2 linked regions of the Pelodiscus sinensis genome follow. The protein of the gene in region 2 interacts with the protein of the main gene of each other region in a pairwise test. Links are inferred from orthologs where the notes say so. Each region holds a gene or a part of one and is shown on either strand. Other genes may lie near its edges.

The links. The genes of interacting proteins can lie anywhere in the genome.
Region 1: the proteins of SH2D4A (region 2) and PPP1CB interact in binary tests that used the Homo sapiens proteins (3 or more experiments, as listed by UniProt). The two-hybrid records come from large-scale screens. The link is inferred for Pelodiscus sinensis from reciprocal best matches to the Homo sapiens genes SH2D4A and PPP1CB.

Annotation. Positions count from the first base shown.
Region 1 is NC_134713.1:160,758,303-160,769,562, reverse strand, and holds the start of PPP1CB (serine/threonine-protein phosphatase PP1-beta catalytic subunit), read left to right. Parts: upstream 1-6,164; 5' UTR 6,165-6,418; coding exon 6,419-6,470; intron 6,471-6,775; exon of another isoform or gene 6,776-6,798; coding exon of another isoform or gene 6,799-6,799; intron 6,800-11,260. UniProt on the Homo sapiens protein: Protein phosphatase that associates with over 200 regulatory proteins to form highly specific holoenzymes which dephosphorylate hundreds of biological targets.
Region 2 is NC_134715.1:4,801,431-4,812,209, reverse strand, and holds the start of SH2D4A (SH2 domain-containing protein 4A), read left to right. Parts: upstream 1-5,441; 5' UTR 5,442-10,383; intron 10,384-10,779. Other genes in the region: GSR (glutathione reductase, mitochondrial), read left to right, coding at 3,962-4,095, 4,839-4,988. UniProt on the Homo sapiens protein: Inhibits estrogen-induced cell proliferation by competing with PLCG for binding to ESR1, blocking the effect of estrogen on PLCG and repressing estrogen-induced proliferation. May play a role in T-cell development and function.

The sequences.
Region 1 (11,260 bases), on a different chromosome or scaffold from region 2:
AGCACTCTTCACAACTGCCATTGGTTGAGTATCAGGATTCCTTGCAAATCTTATAAGTGCAGTATAAAACCTCTGAAAGGGAACTCAAATTGCCTAGCTGTGTTGCCATGCTATTAAAAACAATGGCTTCAATTTCTGAAGTCATGAACGGGGCACACAGATGAGAACAGGGCACACAAGGGATTAAACTTGCAAAATGTGGTTTAAAACAATACTAAAGAAAATTGCTTACAGACTCAGAATTGTGACCCACTGTATAATGTTAGGCAACTCCCTTAGTCTATCTGTGCCTTATTATACCTTTCTTACAGCTGGATAAACTAATATATTAATGGGATGTTGAGAAGTTTGATTAATAATGTACATAAAACACTGTGAGATGAAAGGATAAAAGTTGCTCACATTGCTGGAGCTTAGTCCCCAAGTTTAAAGGATTTCTTTCTGAAGCTCACTGTGCATTTTATTTTTTCTGAAACTATAGCTGCTAGTGTCAAATACCAGCAAATTAGCAGGGCATAAACCATCTGTTTTCCCTAAAACTGACTATTCTTACATTTACATAGGAAAATGAATGCAGATACTTTTTTTGGTCCCCACAGCTGTTCCTTCCTAAGAAACAGAGCAGGAACATTTTCCTATGATGCAAAGGACTGGTAAATTTGAGTGCCATGTCATGTCAGAGATTTGGTCTGAGGCCAGAATCATTTGTCATGTTTTGTTTCAAGAGCCAATCCCCCAGCCTGGGTTGGGGGATAACGCAGCAACAGGTGTCATTTATTTATGATAACTGGTGGGCCAGAGGACAAGTTGGCAGAGGACCTGAGACTATATCATAGTCTAATAAAAACCCTCATCACATTCTTAAAGAGTTCTGACATTGACAGCTGAAGTACTCTGACACACATGCAGTTGTGTATGCCTTACATGCGAGTCTCTCACTGTTTTTGCAGGGGACGCCAATGAGGCTTTATGATCTCTTCAGGGTTGTGAGGGCCCTGCCCAATCTGAATCTGAATGGATACATTGGAAATACTGGGATAAGGCTGCAGCAGATGCATGATTAATTCATTGATCTTTTCAATATAAGACATACAGATATGTTTCATAGAGGAGTTCACTCCTCTTCTACCATTTTTACTCTTTCATCGTTGATCCTTGGTGGTTATTTTCATTCTGCAAACAGCCCCATAGCAATTAAAGGACTACCTAAAAATACTGTTATGCTTATAAAAAGCACATGGGATTTTTTTCAGAGGAAAAAGCAATACACTGTGTTTATTGCAAATACAACATGAAAAGCAATGTATGCATTCACACACACAAAGGTCATGCAGATGATCTTACCAGTTACCAGTCTGTTGTGATTCATCAATCTATTCGCTAGTTAGATTGAACATGAGTGAAGAGCTGGGTTCTGTCGGTTGTGATTTGAGGCTCCGAGGCTTGGCTTTGCAGGACCAAACCTAGAGTCCCATGGTAAAATCACCCCATTTTTATACTTGTAAGATCTCATTTGAGTCTATGAGGTTTTGCAGTGTCATGCTGCAATCTCTGATGTGTTAATAATCTTGTGGTTTTCCTATAATTATCATTTGTTTATGATCAAACTTCTCATCATTATCTCTTGTTTGTCATCTCACTTTGGGGATGGGTCTCTGCCTGTCTCCAAGGTTCTGCAACTCTGCTAATTTAACTCTAGTGTGAGCACAATGGATGCTTCTTGGTCATCTCCAAATTTCTCACGTGTTTGTGACCATCTGGACATTTGTAATGGCTTTCACACACATTCTTCAACTACGCTCACAACCTCCACTCACAACCAAACAATTCACCGAGAATTTCCAGTTAAACAATTTTGCAGAGTGTTTCAGACAGGATTACATTTTAAAAAGGATTATATAGTTACTAACGGACATAACTTGGTTTGCAATGCAGACAAAAGCCACAATTTAATTTGTAATGCTAATAAGAAGCAAGACCTTATAGCAAACATTGTCTAATCATGAGTGGCAGGATGAAACAGAAGTACACAAAACGTATAAGCAAATAATTATATAGGACTTATTACTATCATTATATTTATATTCTTATACCAACATTAAAATGCTGCATTTTGGCTACAATATCTGGTATGACTGAAAGCAAAATACATGGTATGTGCAGCAGGAATGGCAGTGCGAATGTTCAGACTTCGGCTGGGAGCCATATTCTGAAACACAGTGAGGGCTTCAGGGCCCAGGACTCATCACGAGCCTGGATGTGATTTGCTGTGTAGACATACCCTGAGCCTCTGATGAGACTGTAGAATCAGTCTCTCAGGCCCATTCACTCTGGCTGTGTCTACATTGGCATCCCTTTCTGGAAAAGGGATGCTAATGAGACACTTCGGAATTGCAAATCCGCGGGGGATTTAAATATCCCCCGCGGCATTTGCATTTACATGGCTGCCGCTTTTTTCCGGCTTGGGGTTTTTGCCGGAGAAAAGCGCCAGTGTAGACGCGATTCTCCGGAAAATACCGTATATATTCGAGTATAAGCCGAGTTTTTCAGCACAGTTTTTGTGCTGAAAAATGCCCCCCTCAGCTTATACTCGAGTCAGCATCTCGAGAACTGAGGCGGGCGGGCTCAGCGCGTCTCTGCCGCTGGCCGGGGCTAGCCGGGTCTAGCCCCGGAAGTCGGGGTGAAAGCTGCTCCGGTGCCCCTGGTCTGCTGGAGACCGTCTCCAGCAGACATGGGGCACCGGGCGGGTTCCCGCGCTTCTGAGGCTTTGCCAGAGCAAAGCCTCAGAGGCGCGGGACCCCCCGTGGCTGCGGCTTCAGTCCGGGAGCATGTGGTCTGCTGGGGACGGTCCCCAGCAGACCACAGGCACCCAGATTGAAGCGGCAGCAGCGGCGGTTCCTCTGGCAAAGCCTCAGAGGCGCGGGGAACCGCCGCTGCTGCCGCTTCAATCTGGGTGCCTGTGGTCTGCTGGGGACCGTCCCCAGCAGACCACAGGCTCCCGGACTGAAGCCGCAGCCACGGGGGGTCCCGCGCCTCTGAGGCTTTGCTCTGGCAAAGCCTCAGAAGCGCGGGAACCCGCCCGGTGCCCCTGGTCTGCTGGAGACGGTCTCCAGCAGACCAGGGGCACCGGAGCAGCTTTCGCCCCAACTTCCGGGGCTAGACCCGGTATCTATCTTCATTTTTTACATTTACCAGTAGCTGCCTCATTTCCTACCCTAGGCTTATACTCGAGTCAATACTTTTTCCCAGTTTTTTGGGGTAAAATTAGGTGCCTCGGCTTTTATTCGGGTCGACTTATACTCGAGTATATACGGTAAGCCCTTTTCCGGAAGATCCCTTATTCCTACTTTCAATAGGAATAAGGGATCTTCCGGAAAAGGGCTTATTTTCCGGAGAATCGCGTCTACACTGGCGCTTTTCTCCGGCAAAAACCCCGAGCTGGAAAAAAGCGGCAGCCATGTAAATGCAAATGCCGCGGGGGATATTTAAATCCCCCGCGGATTTGCAATTCCGAAGTGTCTCATTAGCATCCCTTTTCCGGAAAGGGATGCCATTGTAGACACAGCCCCTAAGTATTTAACCAAAGTGGAACAGATTTAATAGGACAGATGGCGGGAGCTCCATATCAAAATATCCCATGGTGCAGTGATTAAAGCACTTTCCTGAAAGGTGGGAGAACCCTGTTCAAATGTTTTGTCCCCATCAGACAAAGGGAGGAATATGAACCTGGATCTCTGACCTCCCAAGTAAGTGTTCTACTCATCAGGCTAATAGTTGAAATAGAGATAATACTACTACCTCCTCTTCCAGCCTGATTCTGAATAGGCACTGATCCAGCATGCCTACTGGACTGGGCCACATCACAGTGATTCTGGAACAGTTTTTATAGTGAAGATGCTGAAGGCAGGAACCATGTATCTGAGTTATTATACAATAGCATTACACAATTCCATCCTGTTATACAACATTCTTTCACTGTATAACATCATCATGCCACAGTAAAATGTTGTGATGATTTTCAGGTGAGTTCAATAATATGGACCTGGTCCACTGTAGCTGGGTGATGCTTTAAAATTCAGGATGGGTAGGTAGCATATGTACTATGTTGGGCAGTTCTGAAAGTCAGTCCTCTTTCTAGCTGGACAAAACAAATTTCCACGTGTCATTTTAGCTCTTCTCTATTTATGGAAAAGACTGAAAAATAAGGGAATTTATATATGCATATAAACTTTTGGCAGATGAGTTGAAATTACATTTTTGGTGGCTGTCTTCAACTGGGACTATAAAGTCAAATTTTGAGTCCTTTTATGGTTTCTTTTTTTCTTTCAGTATATCCAGTGAAACTTTATCATTGCCCTGCACTTTTTGAAAGAGCTCTTTCTTACATTAGTTGTTGGGTTCCCTAATATATATATTTGCACATATTCATAGCATCACTCAAGGACTTTTAAAGCTGTGTTCATACTAAATGCAGGACAATGTAGCACTTTAAAGACTAACAAGATGGTTTATTAGATGATGAGCTTTCGTGGGCCAGACCCACTTCCTCAGATCAAATAGTGGAAGAAAGTAGTCACAACCATATATACCAAAGGATACAATTTAAAAAAATGAACAAATATGAAAAGGACAAATCACATTGCAGAACAGAAGGGGGATGCGGGGGGGTGGGAAGGGGGAGAAAGGAAGGTAAGTGTCTGTGAATTGCTGATATTAAAGGTAGGGAGAGTGGGATGTTTGTGAGTTAATGGTATTACAGGTGATAATTGGGGAAACTGTCTTGGTAATGGGTGAGAAAGTTCAAAGTCTTGTTAAGTCCTTGTTGGCAAGTGTCGAATTTTAACATGAATGACAGTTCAGAGGATTCCCTTTCAAGTGCAGATGTAAAAGGTCTTTGTAGCAGAATGCAGGTGGCTAAGTCATTTAGAGAGTGTCCTTTCTGGTTAAAGTGGCAAGAAACTGTTTTCTCTTTGTGATCTTGTCTGATATCTGTTTTGTGGGCATTAATCCTTTGGCGAAGTGTCTGAGATGTTTGTCCAATGTACATAGCAGACGGACACTTTCGGCACATGATAGCATAGATTATATTTCTGGATGCGCAGGAATATGTGTTCTTGATCTTATAACTCACTTGGTTAGGTCCAATAATGGTTTCAGCAGAATGAATATGTGGACAAAGCTGGCAACGGGGTTTGTTGCAAGGGAAGGTACCAGGGTTGGTATTAGTGTGGTATGTCCTGTGGTGGTTGGTAAGAATCATCTTGAGGTTAGGTGGTTACTGTTCATACTAGTTTTTCCTTGATTGGTATATGAACATGAGTATTTGAAAATCATGTAAAATGACATGGTCTGTTATAGACCTCGACAGTTCCTAGAGCCAAAAATCCAAATCTTCATCTATATTTAGGTATCTAAGTGGCCTGATTTTTCTAGAATAGCTGCAGTTTGCACAGCAATAGCTATGTTTTATGCTTTACAGTTTTACATATTGGCCCTATTCCTGCATATTTTAACAGCTGCTTTCAAAGCATTTTATGTTCATTCAGATAGCCACCTAATGGCAAAACCGCATACTTTAAAATGGTCAATAAGTAATGCTGAAAAATATGTCCGGGATGAGAAAAACATAAGTGTTTTTTTTCTGAGAGTTGCATTAGTTGCTGAGCGCAACTTGGTCTTTCAATGCGGGCAGCTTGTTTAACTATTGTGATTTTTGACAGCAACGAACGTGAGACGTGATCAGCTCCCAAGAGTGGCTCACGTTAGCAGTGGGACGGGGGGCTCTGGTTAGCCTCCCCAGGAGTCAGGCGGGAGGGTGTGTGAGTCCAGCTGGAGGGCTCCAGCTGTGAACGCTTGGCTGGGGGATGTCTGGCAGGTTTCCACCTGCGCGCGGGGACGTGCTTCTCCGACACCCTTTTGCACTCAGGCTGGACCGTCTCTCCTGCTCCCACCTGACACTAGCTCGGCCGCGCTTGCAGCACTGCTAGGCCCAATGGGTTACTGGGGGCGGCGAAAGGAAGATCATCTGAAGCGCATGCGCCCCTCCAGGAGGGCTTGAAGTGCAGCAAGAACACCCCTTGCGCCTGCGCCGTCTGTAACATTGGCCCTAGAGGAGTCCCTCACGCATGCGCCCTTGCTAAAGTTGCGAAGCGAAGCGGTCGCGGCAAGAAACCAGGTGGCGGCGCATGCGTCGTGGTTTGCTGGCGGTCCGGTCTCTGAGGCGGGGAGGAGGTGCGGGGGTTGGTCTCTCCCCCCCATTTAACGGAGCGGGGCCGAGCGAGGCGCTTTCGGGTGCCCGCGCGGGAGGAGCAGAGCAGAGAGCGCGGCGGGATTCCTGGGGCGAGCCGCCGCCCCTCGACCGTGAAGCGCTCTCCACCCCGCCTTCTCCCCGCCCGGGACTGAGTCCGGTGGCCACAAAATGGCGGATGGGGAGCTGAATGTGGATAGTCTCATCACCCGGCTGCTGGAAGGTGAGCGAGCCCCCCCCGGCACGCGCACACCGGGGAGGGTGTTTAGGGGTCTCTCCCCCTCCCCCGTGCACGCGCACACACACGGGGTGCGGGGCTAGTGAAGAGCAAGGGGCGAGGCGGGATCCCGCGCTAGCACACAAGGGTGGGTAGGGGGCGAGGCGGGATCCTTCCCTTCACTCACACTCACTCACTCACTCCCCCCTCCCACTCCCCCTGCCCCTCCCACTCCCCCTCCCGGCGCCTAAGCAGTAAGTTGGGCCCAGTTTGCCCGGTGTGGGGAGAGCGCGCGGCAGCGAAGGAAGGTCTGGGAGGCGATCGCTCCCGCGCTAGTAGGTGCTCTAAGCTCTGTCGCGGATGGGGGGGGGGAGACGTACGTGCGTGCTACATTGCTGCTGCTGAGAGAGTGGGGAGAAGTAGGAGTTGTTTTGAGTGCACTGAGCCCTCGGTGCGCTGTTAAACTAGAGGAGACATCAAAGGCTAATGCGTTTAAGCCCCATATTCAGAAGGCGGCTGGGCGTGCCTGAGCGCGCGTGCGCGCCCGCATTAGGCGGGGGGCTGTGTAAAGTGAGTTCCTGCCCCATATCAGTGCTGCATGTGTTTAAAGCCCAGGGTCGGGACAGCTTCCCCAAGTGATGGGTGTGCTAGAAAAGCCTAGCTAGTGAGTGGTCTCCCTCCTTCCTATCAGACCGGTAGCTGTTTTTCATGGTTTTAAAAATAGACATTTTTGGTGTGTGTATGGAGATGCAGGAAGGTTTTTGTCTCCTGCAGTTCTTCTGCCTAGCTATGGGGCTATTTCTAATGTTGGTTATAGAGGCGGAGAAGAATGAGTGAGGGGGTTAATATGCGAAACAGCTGACTGTTTTCCAAGGAGTAGGATGCTATACTACTATCCTTATAAATCCATTTGATGATGATCATGGACAGGGATGATCTTGTCTTATTTTCTTTTTGATGACCCCCAACAAATATCTGGTGAGGGGAAAAAACATGTCTGTAGTTTTAAAAATGTATGTAACTTCTGGATTTGAAAGGCTACCAATGAGACTTACCATATAGATTTTGCTTAGGAGTGCGAACTGTTGGCTTCTTGGTGGTATCTTATTTAACTACTTGATAACCTAACATGACACACAGGTTTGTGAACATCATTTTGTAGTCATTCCTTCATCTTGCTAAAAGTGAAATGGTGCTTCACTAGAATGTCATTGAATATAAAATAAGCAACTCTTAATGAAATGATAAATCTTACACTTTGTATTCTTTGTTAGTATGTCTGTATTTAAAGTATCCAGTGTAGTGAGAGAACTTGCAAGTACCTGTATTTATCGGTCAGTGTAGATAGATAATTCAGCATTAGGTTAGAGTTCATTTCTGAGTGACTTGAAGCTTGAAACATTGCTAGCAAGTTTAAACACGACACTTTTACCAATGAATTTTGTCTTGTTTTTTATTATTGTTACAGATAGTCACAAATGGGACTAGTTATCATTCACTTTTTACTATAAGCTCAATTTTTAGGGGGGGGGGGTGCCTGTAAAATAATTTGGCTCAAATCTTTGTCTGGAGCAGCACTTTTTACTATGTTTTAATAAGATTAAATCTATCTACTATATATCTGAGAGAGTTGTCTGTTCAAGAACTCCTCCTAAATGGTAAGAGTTAGGACTACCAAATTTGGTATACAGCTTCTTCCTCTTATCATAACTCAAAGCAACGTAAGGGTTTGGATGTGCCTAGACTGGGAGTGCTTCTCATAAAACAGTGCAGAAAAGAGGCAGAGTTACCAGATAAGTGAAAGGGGCTGGCTGCCTCTAGCCTCCTACTCCCCAGGTGCCCTTTAGGTAGGATGGGGAGGTGAATCTCCCCCCTCAATTCATATGGGGACATTGCTGGCTGTTGCTCTTTATTAAGAAGTGAGGGGAAAGTGCATAGTTTATGCATTCCTCACTTTGTCTGGGGAGTACAGGGGACAGATGAACCTGAATCTGCTCCAGCTGGTAGACATGCAACCTCCCCTGGCTGTGCCCACTGGAGCTGCATGAGGTGCTTCTTGTCTGGCCCCAAGCTGCTGCCACCCTGAGAGGGGGATGGAGTAGTCCAGGCCAGCCTGCATACTGAACTCCTCATCCACAGCCCTACCCCAGAGCAATGATTTAAATGCAGTATGTTTGTTTTTCATTCCGTTTTACAAAAGACAAATACTGAGTTATAGACCCAAGCAAGAGTTATTTTTTAAAGTTGCTATTAAAAGGGCAGGCCTAGCCTCCAACATATATCTTAGTGTTTGTTTGCTAAGACAATAACTTGTGTAACTTTTCTGATGTGCATATCCATATTAAAATAGTTGATAAAATAATGTTTTGAGGGTGTAGCTGAAAGAGTCTGTATCTGCTCCAAAAAAAAAAAGGAGTCCTATGGCACCTCAGATCACTTCCACCTTGTTGGTTACTTAGATTCACAGTTGAGACTGTTTGGGAAATTGGTGCTTAAAGATCTTTTCACAATATTAAAATGTGTGATAAAGGCAAATTTTAGACTTAACAGGTCAAATTTGTGCAAGTCTGTGTACAACTTTTTTAAACTTTGTAAATCAAAATCTTAGAGATTTTTAAACTTTTTGTTTAACTTGAGTGTAAAAAAATTAAGGAAAATCTGTGTCTTGACAAACAGATATTTCTTCACTTACCTCCCACTGAGTTTAACATGGAGTTTGCATACGTCTCTGATCCGAAGGAAAATAGACGGTTCTCTTACTGCATTGTTGTAGGTTTCCCCAGACAGCGGGCATGTTTTTGTCTCCGTTTACACTTTTGCTTATTTCACACTTTCCAGTTTCTGCGCTATGAATGTACTGTACTATAGGATGAATAAAAGATTGAATATTGCAGTCTTAATTATAAAGTTTCTTTTATGTAATCTAACACTTAATGATTTATAGTTTGACATTGCTTCTGCTCTGGTAAAGTTGCGGTGTAAAATATGTTTCAAGCCAAAGATAAACCTGTAAATTCTCAATCTAGGAGCACTATTTTACCTATTGTCAATTGTGTTTTAGCACTTCCAGATTAGATGGTCAAAAACAGTTGTTTTATAATGAAAGCATGTATTTAAAAGCTTTGAGAATATTATTGCAGTGTGGTATTCCACAGCTTGTTCTAGGTCCTTCTGCTCCCTTTAAATGAAATGGATGTCTTGATCAGCAATTACAGTAGTTTTTCAATAGCTGCTGCTTGAAACTCATTTTGCAGTGCACTAATTAACAAAAATAGTAACACTAGCAAGAATTTTCTGACCTCTCTAGATTGCTGGATGAATACACCTGTTTTTGCATAGGAACCTAGTAGTCATGATTCATGCACTTACTTTGAGATGGGATTATAGTACTGCAACTACCTGTTTCTTAGTCAATCGAGGCCAATAAAATTCCGTCTTGGACAACATAAGGCAACCTGTCCCTCTTGATCAGAACTAGCTGCTGAGAGCACCTCAGTGTAGTCTACCTTCTACTTGCTTCCCTTTTAGTGCTAGGTTCCAGTTTTCAAAGTTCGAAAGCATGCTACATCTGAAGCTCAGACGCCTGCACTAATGAATGTGTGCACACATGCTCATTTCAGAGAATAGCAACTCTACAGATCTGGGAGCCAAGTTTCTTAATGTTGGATTCTAGACTAAATATTCTTTTTGAAGAGATCGGAGTAATTCTTAGATTAGCTTCTCAGTCAGGACCATTGGAAAATGCACTTTTATCCAGCATGCATGGGAATGATATGAAAGGAGGAGGGGGAAAAATCCTAGTTAAACGGTGAACTCCAAGATGACAAGATGATGCCCATTTTTAATTCACTTGGTCTTCATTTGCAGCTTGTTGAATATATAAATGCTACAGGTATTGGTGCCTTAGAACAGATGTTGCTCAAATAGGGGCATGTGTACTCTTGGCATTATGCAGCGCTCTTCCAGCAGCTACATTACCTCATCTAAAACTAGGCAAATATCTAGAACTGGCTACATTCAAGGCACTAGCGAGCACCAGAACAAATATTTCATATGGACAAATTGTTTATGCTGCTTTATGCACTGAAATATAAGTACAATATTTATTTTCCAGTTGATTTATTTTAGAATTATATGAAATTATAAAAATGAGTTAGCCATTTTGTAGCAATACAGGCAGTCCCCGACATACGTCGGATCCGCACTTACGAACGGGGCTTTTCTTGCCCCGGAGCTCACGGGCGGTAGGTCGCCACCCGTGTCCTCCGGAGCGAGAAAAGCTTCTCCCCGTCTCCCTGGTCTGCAGGGGGGGTCCAGCAAAGTCGCTGGACCCCCCCAGCAGACCAGGGACACCCGAGCAAAGCCGCTGCCTGGAGCAGCGGCTTTGCTCCCCGTCTCCCTGGTTGCTGGGGGGGAGGGGGGAGCAAAGCCTTGGAGCATGCCCACAGTGGGACAGTCCAAGCGCGTCCGGGCTGTCCCGCTACGGGCGTGCTCCAAGGCTTTGCTCCCCGTCTCCCTGGTCTGCTGGGGGGGGGGGGGGATGCAGCTAGTGCCCCTCCCCCCAGCAGACCAGGCTTTTCTTGCCTACCCCTGGGGTAGAGCAGCTGGGGGCTGCCGGGTTGGTCCCGCAGCGCCGCTCTGGACCAACCGGGCAGCACCGCAGCTGCTCTGCCCCAGGCGTCCTGATTCAGCCGCTGCTGGTCAGTTTCAGCAGCGGCTGAATCGGGATGCCTGGGGCAGAGCAGCTGGGGTGCTGCTGGGTTGCTCCAGTAGCGCGGAGGAGCTGCGCTACTGGA
Region 2 (10,779 bases):
TTGCGCTTTTGCCTTCCCGATAACTCCCCTGCATTCTCGAGCAATATATTTATACTCCTCCCTAGATATCTGTCCAAGTTTCCACTTGGCACATAGGCGCACTCAATCAGTAATGTAAGGTAAACTACAGTGTAACTGTCCCAAAATCAAGAACTACATTGATAAGGTTAAACTTAAAAAAAAAAAAAAAAAAAAAAAAGGTTTAGGAATCAAAATATAATTATGGCACCCTTAACTGTGTCCAGTAGAAATGTCATGGGGGGGGGGGGGGGGGGGAGAGAGGAGAGAGGAGACTAAACTGATTTTGAAGAAATTTTTTTGTAATTTGACCTAGGTCCACAAACCCTAAAGTGCCATAATCCTAAGAGAATAGTGTTTGCATAGTAGCACTACAGGGCATAGTGAAGGTTTCTGCTGAAAGAGAAACATCTAAGGTATGGTCAGGAAAGGCCATAAATCTTTAAAAAATATCTTTAGATATAGCCTATGCACAAGATTTCAGTGAGGTTTTTTTTTTAATCCCATGGGAAGCTGGATGAGTCTGACAGAGCAGATTATAGTTGTTTTGGTGTCAACATCATTTCTTACCTGAACATGCTTAATTTTCTTTATTTGTAACCTTAACTGTGACTTCTTGGGCTTTAGACTGTTTGGTTTGTGGATAGTTATGGTTGTATTGTGGGTTGTAATCCAGACCTGTAAGGAGAGGTTACATCCTGTGTTGTAACCATGGGTGCCTTAAGTGCTGTGCTGCTGTGGCTCACAGCCTGGATACAAACAGCAGTCCCTTGAGTTTTTGCGTGCTCTGCTAGCTTTGTCCTGACCCAGAAGCCTGCCACAAACACAACAGTCTCTCCCTTGTTTCCTCCAGCTGTAGTTATACCTGGCAAGGTGACCTCAGCACACTTCCTGTTCCAAATGTCTACAGAACCACCCACCCTGAAGTGTTCAGCCTTCTCCTGAACCACTTAGATAAATAATAATGTTTATTTACTCCTTTAAAGGCACAGTACCCAAGAGCTTGTGACATTAATTGGAGTTAACTATTACAACAGTTCAGACACTGCACTGGGTTGTTTTAGGTTAAAATAGAACACGTTAATAACACCTGGGTTATGTGATGCCAAATAAAAGAAATAAAGTTAGAGAGAGTTGCTAGCAAATAAAAATACGTGCCTAAAAGTCTAGAACTTCTCTAACAAGGCACAGACTTTTTTGATGATTTTGTTCGCCCATTACCCATGGCTGATGAATTCTCTCAGCCAGGAGCTTCCACGGAAGTACAAGATGATGGTTTCTCATGTGTTCCTAAGTGAAAGATTCAGTTGGACTCTCTTTTTTCCTTATATCCCCAAAGAATTGTCTTAAATATCAGAGTTAGGAAGGCCACCTGTGTTTCTCTGGGGTACGAGGAGCAATGTTGGTTCTCAGTCTCTTGAGTTCAAGCCAGGGTTGCCAACAGTCAGTAAATTTATGGGCAGCCCATAAAAGGAGCTAAAATTGGACCTGTCTGTAAAACATTTCCATGTCAATAAAAACCCACTGAGCTTCCTCCCACTTGGCTCTGGGGCAAGCTCCGCAGGGCAGCTCCGTAGACTCTACAGTTCCTGGGGCAGGGGGGAATTCTCCTGGTGGGGGCTGCTCTTCTTCACCTGTGGTGACCAGCTTTGAGCTCTTTGGTGTCACCAACCCTCATGCTCCTGCTGCAGCCCATCATTCAGCCTTTTCAGCCGTAGCCCCCTCCCCACCCCCATCCCGAGATGTGAAGTAGGTAAAACCTGAAGAAAAGTCTGTTTTCCTCACCCCTTTTGAATTTTGCCTGTGCCCAGAAGAGTCCCAAAAGGGTCACCTGCCTTGCCCGAAAGCTTTCAGAACTTGGAGGATGCGAATGTGGGTAGTAAATAGGTTAAACTAGCATAATAACATTGCTGCTGTGATGTCTGAATAAAAACATTGACTAGTGTTCCCTTTTGTCGTATCTTTATATAGTGTAAGAATGCGTCCGTAAAAAAGTTTCAGTAACTTTTTTTCCATGTTGTCCACAAAAATACTTTTAAGCAGATGGCAATCCTGGTTCAGGCTCAACACAACCCCTGCTGGATCGCTTGATAGCTTTGTTCACAGCTAATGTGTAAACTGAGGTAACCTACATTCCTTTGTCTAGGGCAGATCTGTTTTATCACCTTTGCCTAGGCCAGGCTGTCATCTTGTTCTAGTGACATTGTACAGTAGGCATGTAGAGCTTCACATAAGAAGTTAACACATGCATTTTACACTGATATTAATGAGCCGTGTGCTACAGGTTGAACCTCTAAAATCCATGTCTCTCTGGTCTGGCAGGACCACAAATATTGCTGGGCCATATTACCCTGTTTGGCCAGGTTCAGGAGCAGTGGTGGGGAGCGCCAGCCATGGGCTGGGGCAGGCAGCAGCAAACTGTGCTTCAGGACCACTACGGTCCTGAGAGTGTCCGACTAGGGAGATCCCACCTGTATTAGTTTTAGGTGCTGTCTTGTAAAGGCATATGTTTAAAAAAACGTTTTGCAGTAGTGTGTAGGGTGTGAACACAGCAGTGCGTACAGACAGTTACAGTGTCTTACTATATAGTTTAGAAATGTGCCTCTCTCTGTCCGTCCATCTGTGTGTCTGTTTGTTCAAGAACTCCTCCTAAACAGTAAGAGCTAGGAACATCAGCTTCCTCTTACCTTCACCCCGATCCCCTGCCCCAGGTCAGAATCCCATCCTGCCCTAGGTCTCAACCCAAACTCCTGCATCCCCTCCTACACATCAGTCCCCTGTCCCAGGTCACAACTGCCTCCTTCACCCAAACTCCCTCCCAGATCCCACACCTCCTCCATTAAAGTAATGGAAGAGTATAGCCTTTGACTACTTTCCAAAATTATTGCCCACCTCTGTTCTACTGTATAACCTAGCCACAAGATTTTAGAGAATTTTAACTACAAAAAGTATATTGCAGTTACTGCAGCTGTGGGTCAAAAAGTGAGTGCCTATATTTCTTAGGGATCCCACATTTAATTTTATCTCCACAACTAATAAATAGATTTTTTTTGTAAATTGCCAAGTTCATTCTTTACTCAAAGTGCTGTAGGCTTGCAGATGCTGTGCTGTGTTCTTCGTACATAAGTGTGGCCCTGCTTAAGGGCAAAACTCAAATACACTTTGACTATGAAATGTCTGAGGACACCTCCATAATGCCGCCATTAATTTATTTTTTGAATGTCAGATTTGTTCTTTTTGGAAAACTTACTAAAATGTGTTTGTCCAGAATACTTTACTTCTTCCAAATGCTTAGTCGTTTACAACGCTTGGTCCCTGTGTTGTGCTAGCAATAGACTGTTTCAATTGCTTGCATAAGTACCAATGTCATTAAGAAGTGTACAGAACATTTTCCTCTGTCGCTGTGTAAAGTGGTCTTCATTTCATCCTGCTTGAGTATGAGGGATTGTTTATACTACTACTTAACAGGGGGGAGGGATAGCTCAGTGGTTTGAGCATTGACCTGCTAAACCCAGGGTTGTGAGTTCAATCCTTGCAGAGGCCATTTAGGGATTTGGGGCAAAAATTCATCAGGGATGGTACTTGGTCCTGCTGTGAAGGCAGGGGACTGGACTCAATGACCTTGCAAGGTCCCTTCCAGTTCTAGGAGATAGGCAACCTCCATTATAAAAAAACTTACATTGCTCTGGGTTATGAAAAAGCCATGTAAATTACATCAACTTAGTATGGGGCAGACACCACTTTTATATGGATGTGAGACTCTCTCCCGCCAACACAGCTGTTTCTTCTTGTTGAGGTGGAGTAATTACGCTGAAGGGAAAGCGCTCTCCTGTTGGCGTGGTGTCCTTCACCAGACGTGCTGTAGTGCTGCGAGAGCCCAGTAGTGTAACTAGCCCATAGTCCTCTGCAGGCCATGGAGTCAAATGTCTCTTGTGTGTTACAGAGGAAGCCATTTCGACATATGGAAAAGAGAATGTGAAGATCTACAACACCTCTTTTACCCCCATGTATCACGCTGTAACGCAGAGGAAAACTAAGTGTGTCATGAAGCTGGTTTGTGCTGGCAAAGAAGAGAAGGTGAGCCAAATGAAATAAGTCATAGCTAAAATGTTAAGGAGAATGGAACAGCTTGTATTCTGCTGTTAGCTAAATCGGTGTGGCTAGCGAAAGGTAAAATAACTGGCCCACTGCCAGCAGGATCCTGATTAAACCAGCTAACCGATTACATGGGATTTTACATCCCTACCTCATCATTATTTGTGGCATATGAGGCTGAAGGGGTTCAGCTACGCCGCTCTAGTCTGACCTCATATATAACACAGGTCATAAAATTTCATCTGACTCCTCTTTTGGGCCTAATCAGTGTTTGACTAAAACATCTTTGAGACAGGCCCCCAGTCTTGAGTTGAGCATTTCAAGAGATGAAAAATCCTCTGCTTCCCTGGTAGTTTAATCTGTTCCACGCCCATGCTGATAGATTCCCTCTGGTTTTGCCAGCTGCAGGGGCACAAAGTTAAGATGGTGCTGCAGGGGTAATAGGGACTGTAACTTCGTATTTCCTAGTTTTCAAAGGTTTATATTTTGTCACTTCCCATATTCTGAAGCAAGCTGCTTTCCACAGGCTGGAAACACTACTGGGCGACCTTAACTCTTCACTAACTCCAAATGGGTAGATTTGTTTGAAAGGCTGTTGACTAGGTCAAAAGTAGCTTTTCTCTATGCCAATGAGTGATCAGGTTGATGGAGATTCTCTAGCTGGTTCAGTGATAACTGTCATTAAATGCTCATCTGTATTAAAGTAAGTTTCCTATTGTTTGAAGGTGGTGGGACTACACATGCAGGGACTAGGGTGCGATGAAATGCTGCAAGGTTTCGCTGTAGCAGTCAAAATGGGAGCAACAAAGGCCAGCTTTGATGAGACGGTTGCCATTCATCCAACTTCATCAGAGGAGCTGGTCACACTCCGTTGAAAGGTTGCGTATTTCTGAGGCTTGCAAACCAATCTGTAATACGGCAGCCAAAAACACTTGAAATAGGCTTGCGGAATCATAACTACTTTTCTTGGTGCCATTTAGACAAACTCTTTCTTTTCTGTGACACTCCAGATGATATTCAGATTCTTCTGTTTTTGTAATCTAGACATTTATAATGTGGGGAAAAAATCTGAGCGACGTCCAGTGGTGGTGGCATCTCTTCCTTTCATCCAAATAGCTTGGTTTCTTGAAGCTTCATTGGTTTAGACTGAAAAATAAATAAATAAAATAGTTTAAACTCTTTGGTTCTTGTTTGATTATCTCAGACCTCATAAGCTTATCTAAGCCCATGTTTTGACTGGCTAAGCTATCTGGTGCAAAAGAGATGTCTCAGTTTTCATTACTTTCACCATTGATTTTATCATGTGGGACATGTAGAATTGTCTTCCTCCTGTCTCGTTCAGCATGGCTCTGTGCACGCAGAAAAGCTCCTCTTGAATTATGATTGGCAGAAGGAATTTCAGGGTACGTCTACACTGCAGATGCCTGTGCCACTGACTCAGGGTTCAGAGGCTGTTGATTTACAGTGTCATCACTTGGGTTTATGCTCTAGGATCCTGTGAGGTGAGAGGGTCCCGGAGTGTGAGCTGCAGCACAAGTGCAAACATTAGCACTACAATTAAACAGTGCCTTAGCCTGAGCCCCAGTGAGCTGGCATGGGTCAGGGGCAGGTTATGTGCAGTGTGTACATACTCTCAGGGAGCAAATCTGGCCTTGTGGCTAAGGCACTTGACTGGAACTGAAATTCTAGGTTGTCAGTCTCTATGTAACCCTGGGCAAGTTACTTTCTTTGTCTCGCTCTCTGGCCATGTCTATACTTACCCATAGATTGATGCTCTGGAGGGCCATCTTCTGGCATTCGATTTAGTGGGTCTACTAAGGACCTGCTAAATCAAATGCCAAGGGGCTGCCCCCATTTATACTGGCACTCCTACTCCTTGGAAGGAGTAAGGAAAGATAATGTGAATGTTTCTCCCATCGACCTCCCGCCGTGGCAGTGGTGCCAAAGTTTGACGCAAGGTACTTAATGTAATTAACGTAGCTGAAGTTGCATATCTTAATTCGAACTTATCCCCTAGTGTAGACCTGACCTCTCTCTCTGCCCCAGCTCCCTAGCTGTGAAGTATGGATAGTAATGTCTTTGTCCTCATAGGCATCTGATCTTGGTTCAGTCCTCTCTATGTTCTTTTGGTGTAGAAGTGTGGTGTCGCCATAAATATGGTTGGGTTATAAATTAAGGCATAAATTCTTGTTTTTCTTTAAAAGTAGGTGGGCAGTTGGTACAAAGTGTTTTATTTTAAGCCTGCTGGTGGTGGAGACAGTAATATCAAATCTGCTGGGAAATCCCACAAAGAACCTTTTATCTGAGACAGTGACCAGGCCTGTAAATTGAAATCCCCGCAAGAACTATCCAGTTGCAGTTTGTGATTCCTGAGTTGGAAGTTGGAAGAACACCATGGAAACCTCATACTGGCTACTGCCTCTTGCATGAAGTATCATCTCCACACCACTGAGGCATGAGTTTTATGGGATGTGATTTGGAGTCCTGTCTTCCCACCTGTCGGGGGATTATGGTGGGGATGACTGGTGTGATGAAACACCCCCCCCCCCCCCCCGTGTTCGCACCCTATACATGTTGTACAAAATATGCCTTGTGAAGTTTCATTTGAAAACTAACAACTCACTGGTTGGTAATGTCACAGAGAAATGTGTGTAGTGATAGTAGATATACGATTTAAACAAAAGCTGAAATCATGACAGAATTGTGTTTACCAGGCAAGTCTGGGAGTGGATAAACTTGTTTCTCAAAGACAAAGGACAGACTCACAGCTTTGGCCTGGTGTCCTCTAAGCTGATGGGCCCTCACCAATCAAGTGGCAATTCTTTGGCAAGGGAGAAGGGTGGGGCAGGAGTGAACAGATCTGCACCTTAGCAAACAGCCATTCACCTCTTTCACTAGCAGACTCCTGGATTCCAACCTCACAATAGGAATGACTGTTAGGGATAACCCTCAAGAAAATGGATTTCAAAGAGAGATTGAACTATAAAAAGCGAGTGGAAGAACACACCCTATCCATCTCTTGCTCTCTCACGTGAGAAGACAAAAGAAATCAGCCTATTTGGAAGAGATCCTGACCTTGGTCAGCTTTGTTGCTGGACCCCTCTGGTAAGAATTTTATTTTGGACCAACTCTGTCCTAAGTTTTAGTCCTAGGAAGTGTTTTATCCTTATTTCTCTTGTATCCATGTCTGACTCTGACTTTAAGTGAATACAAGCATAGGGCATTAATCTTGTAGTTTAATACATTTGTTACATTCTTTAATTAAAATCAGCCCAATTTTAACTGTCCATTTATGGCAGGAAACTGTATGTTAATCCCCTTGCAAGAGTTGGGATTACAAAGGGTATGGCTCATCAACCCAGAGTTAGGGGTGGGGTCAGAGGTTTCCTTGGCCTGGGATTTGGATTGGGGTCAGTAGGAGTCTCCAGGCTACACATGGTAAGGCTCCCTGCCCGAGGGTTGGCCAAAAGGGAGGGTTATGGTAACATTTGCAACGGGGAGGGGTCCCTTGCCTAGGGCTAGGGTTACAAAGTAGAGGGCTCCCACTGGCTCCTGAGCCTGGGGCTAGAGTTTGGATCAGTAGGGTTCCTTGGCCTAGAGTGAAGGTTGCGCGCTCAACCCCAGGGTTACTGTTGGGGTCTGTAGGAGCCCCGGGCTAGAGTAGGATTGTCAGTACAGGTGGGGTGCTCTGGCCTATAGTGGGGTTTACAAAGGGTAGGGCCACTAGCCCTAACATTAGGCTTGTTGTTTGGGCTCCCTGCATTGTGGTAGGGAGCCCCTGTGCCTATGGATATGATTGTTGTCAGGACTCCCCAATGGAGGGTTTGAGTTCCAAAGGGTAGGTCCTCCAGTTGTGAGGTCACAGAGCACCTCCGCCCAGGGACTCCCCAGTCTAGGATTAGGGCTACAAAGCATAAAGTCCCATGGCCTGGGATTAGGGTTGGGGTGAGCAGGCGTCCTTGGTGTAGGTTTGGGTTGGGTCAGTACAAATCCCTGTCTTATGGTACAGGTTGGGTCATCAAATTTCCAAGCAGAAGGTTTGGTTAGAAATGGTAAGGCGACCCGCCCTTGGGTTTAGATTACAATGGGTAGGGTTCCTTCTCCTAATTTCAGGACTGGGGCCAACAGGGCTCCCCATGCTAGGGGTAGGGCTCCCTGGCCTAGAGCTAAGATTGGGGTCAGCAGGACTCCCTGCCTAGGTTCAGAGTTGGGGTTAGCAGGGCTCCCTCACATCGGGTTAGGGTTACACAGCATAGTGCCCCCAAGCAGGGTGAGGGTGAAGGTCAGAGAGTCCCTAGGGGTATGTAAGGGTTGGAGTTAGCAAGGCTCTCTTGCCTGGGGTTCGGGTTGTTCCCGGTCTCAGATTAGGGTTGGGATCCGTGGTTCTTACCAAGGGAAGGACTCTGGTTTAGTGGTAGGGTTATAAGGTGTGGACTTCCTGACCTATAGTTAGGGTTGGACTGGATGCAGCTCCCAAGTCTAGGGTTCGAGTGGGTGTGACTAACCCGCCTCCCCGCGTAAGGTCCGGGTTGCAGCAGTTTAGGCCTCCCCAGCCTAAGATTAGGCCAGGGCATGGTACAGATACCAACCCTCGGGTTAGGGGTGGCCTCGGTGGGGGTTGTCAGGAGTGCTTCTCAGACTAGCATTGGGGCTGGTGGAGATTCCCATTTAGGGGTATGGTTACAAGGGGGGGGCTCCGCAGCCCAGGCTTAGCATGGGGGTCACTACGCTGTGCAGCCTGAGGTTCACGGTGATCAGTAGGGCTTCTGGGCCTAGGGCAGGGTCAGTAGGGCTCCCCGCTTTGTGCTTCATTACAAAGGGCAGGGCTTCCCAGCTGAGGGCAAGGGTACAGTGGGCAGAGTGAGAACTGTTAGTAGGGCTCCCCAGGGCTGGGGCCAGCAGGACTCTCCAGGCTATGGTTAGAGTTGGGAGCAGAAATGAGACACACACTGGCTGCTCACTCGGCTGTCCGTCCCTAGGAAACAGCTGTGGGTGCTCACAGCTCGTATCCTATCCTTCTTTCTGACACTGGTGCCCCACCGCACAAGCCAGGGGCAGGACCTCCTACCGCCTGTGGAGGGTGAGGAGCACCAGTCTGAATGGCGCCCTGGTCCCCTGACCCACTGGCAGGCTCCTTCCCAGAGCAGTTGCATGTGAGTGTGTACTTGTGGGGGTGACCCCTGCCTCTGCGACACTTGCCCCTTTATGTGGCGCAAGGGAGACGTCGGCCCACATCTCCTGCCACGGTGCCAGGCTGCAGCCCCTTGTCCGACTCCTCCAGGGCCTTCTCTTCAGGTTCCAGCCGCGCCTCCGCCTGATCCGCGCATCTCCCTCCGGAGCCCCGTAAAGTCTCCCGGCTTCAGGAGCCACCTCCTGGCTCGGGCGGTCATCCACCCTCCAGGAGAAGGAAGCTGGACTGGCACTGTGGAGCCTATTTCCACGCCTCCCTGAAGTCGTCTCTGGGCAGAGCTCCCCTGGGCCGCGTCCAGCGGTTGCTTTCATCCGGGGTCCTCTGCGCAGTGTTTCCCCCTCTGCACCCATGACCTGATCCCGGTGATCTTCACTCCCATCACGGTTACTTCATTGTGTCCGCCATGATTAGCTGATGCCGGGCTCCAGTGGCTTCTCCCCGTAAGCCCATGGGCAGGGGGGGGTTAAGCAGTGGGTGGGCCTACACTTCTCTCACTCCCTGTGCTTCCGTGGCTGCCCTGAGGCTGCAGGGAGGCGCCTCTCAGGTATGCACCAACCTGGCTGTGGCAGGGACTTGCCCCCAGGCATACGGCAGCAGCCTATCCCGGAGCAGAGCCTGCGTCAGGTGACCCCCAGCCCAGGTATTTCCCCAGCTCCCTAAGCTGCAGCTCCATCTGTGAACAGCCCTACCCAGCCAGGAACCCTCCTGCGGCTATAGGGAGTGTCGGACTCTCCACACTCCCAGCCTGCCCTGCATCAACCCAGCTCAAGCAGCCCTGTTCCAGTCTCGCTCTTGCCCTACCCTCGCCTTGCTCCAGCCTGTTACTGGCTCGCTTCAGCCTTGTCTCCTCTCCCTGAGCCCTCTGACTCCAATCATCTGGCTTTGATCTTTGGCTCCAGCGACGGTACTAACTTTGGACCACCTGGCTTCGACTCCTGGCTTGCACCTGGACTTTGTCTGCAGGCTCTGGGCTCAATTCTGTCCTCAGATTTCACCTGCAGTGCCAGTCTGAGCCCACATCTGGCTTCAACCTCCACTCCAACCGCTAGGCCTGGCTGCTGGGAGACGGTGTCTGACAAGTAAGGCTCCCTGGTCTAGGGTTAGGATGGCTCCCTCTCCTTGGGCTAGGCTTATAAATCAGTGGTGTCCAACACACTAGCCGCTAGCCACATGTAGCTATTGGGATGGTTGAGTGCGGTGGCAGTAGCCACAGTAGTTGGACACCATGGTTCTAAAGAGCAGGGCTTCCCAGGCCAGGGACAGAATTAGAAAGAGAAACAGCTGAGTTGTAACAATTTCTTCTGCCGAGGGATCTTAACCCCCCTCACCTAGAGTCCACGATGTAACGAAAGGAGTGTTCGCGCACATCCCCTGCTCCTGGGTGTGGGAAAAACAACAAAGTCCCTTGTCAACTGCTGTTCCACAATGGTTTGTCTGGTGTCTATCGGCCACCTTTTGTTGACATCTAGGGTCTT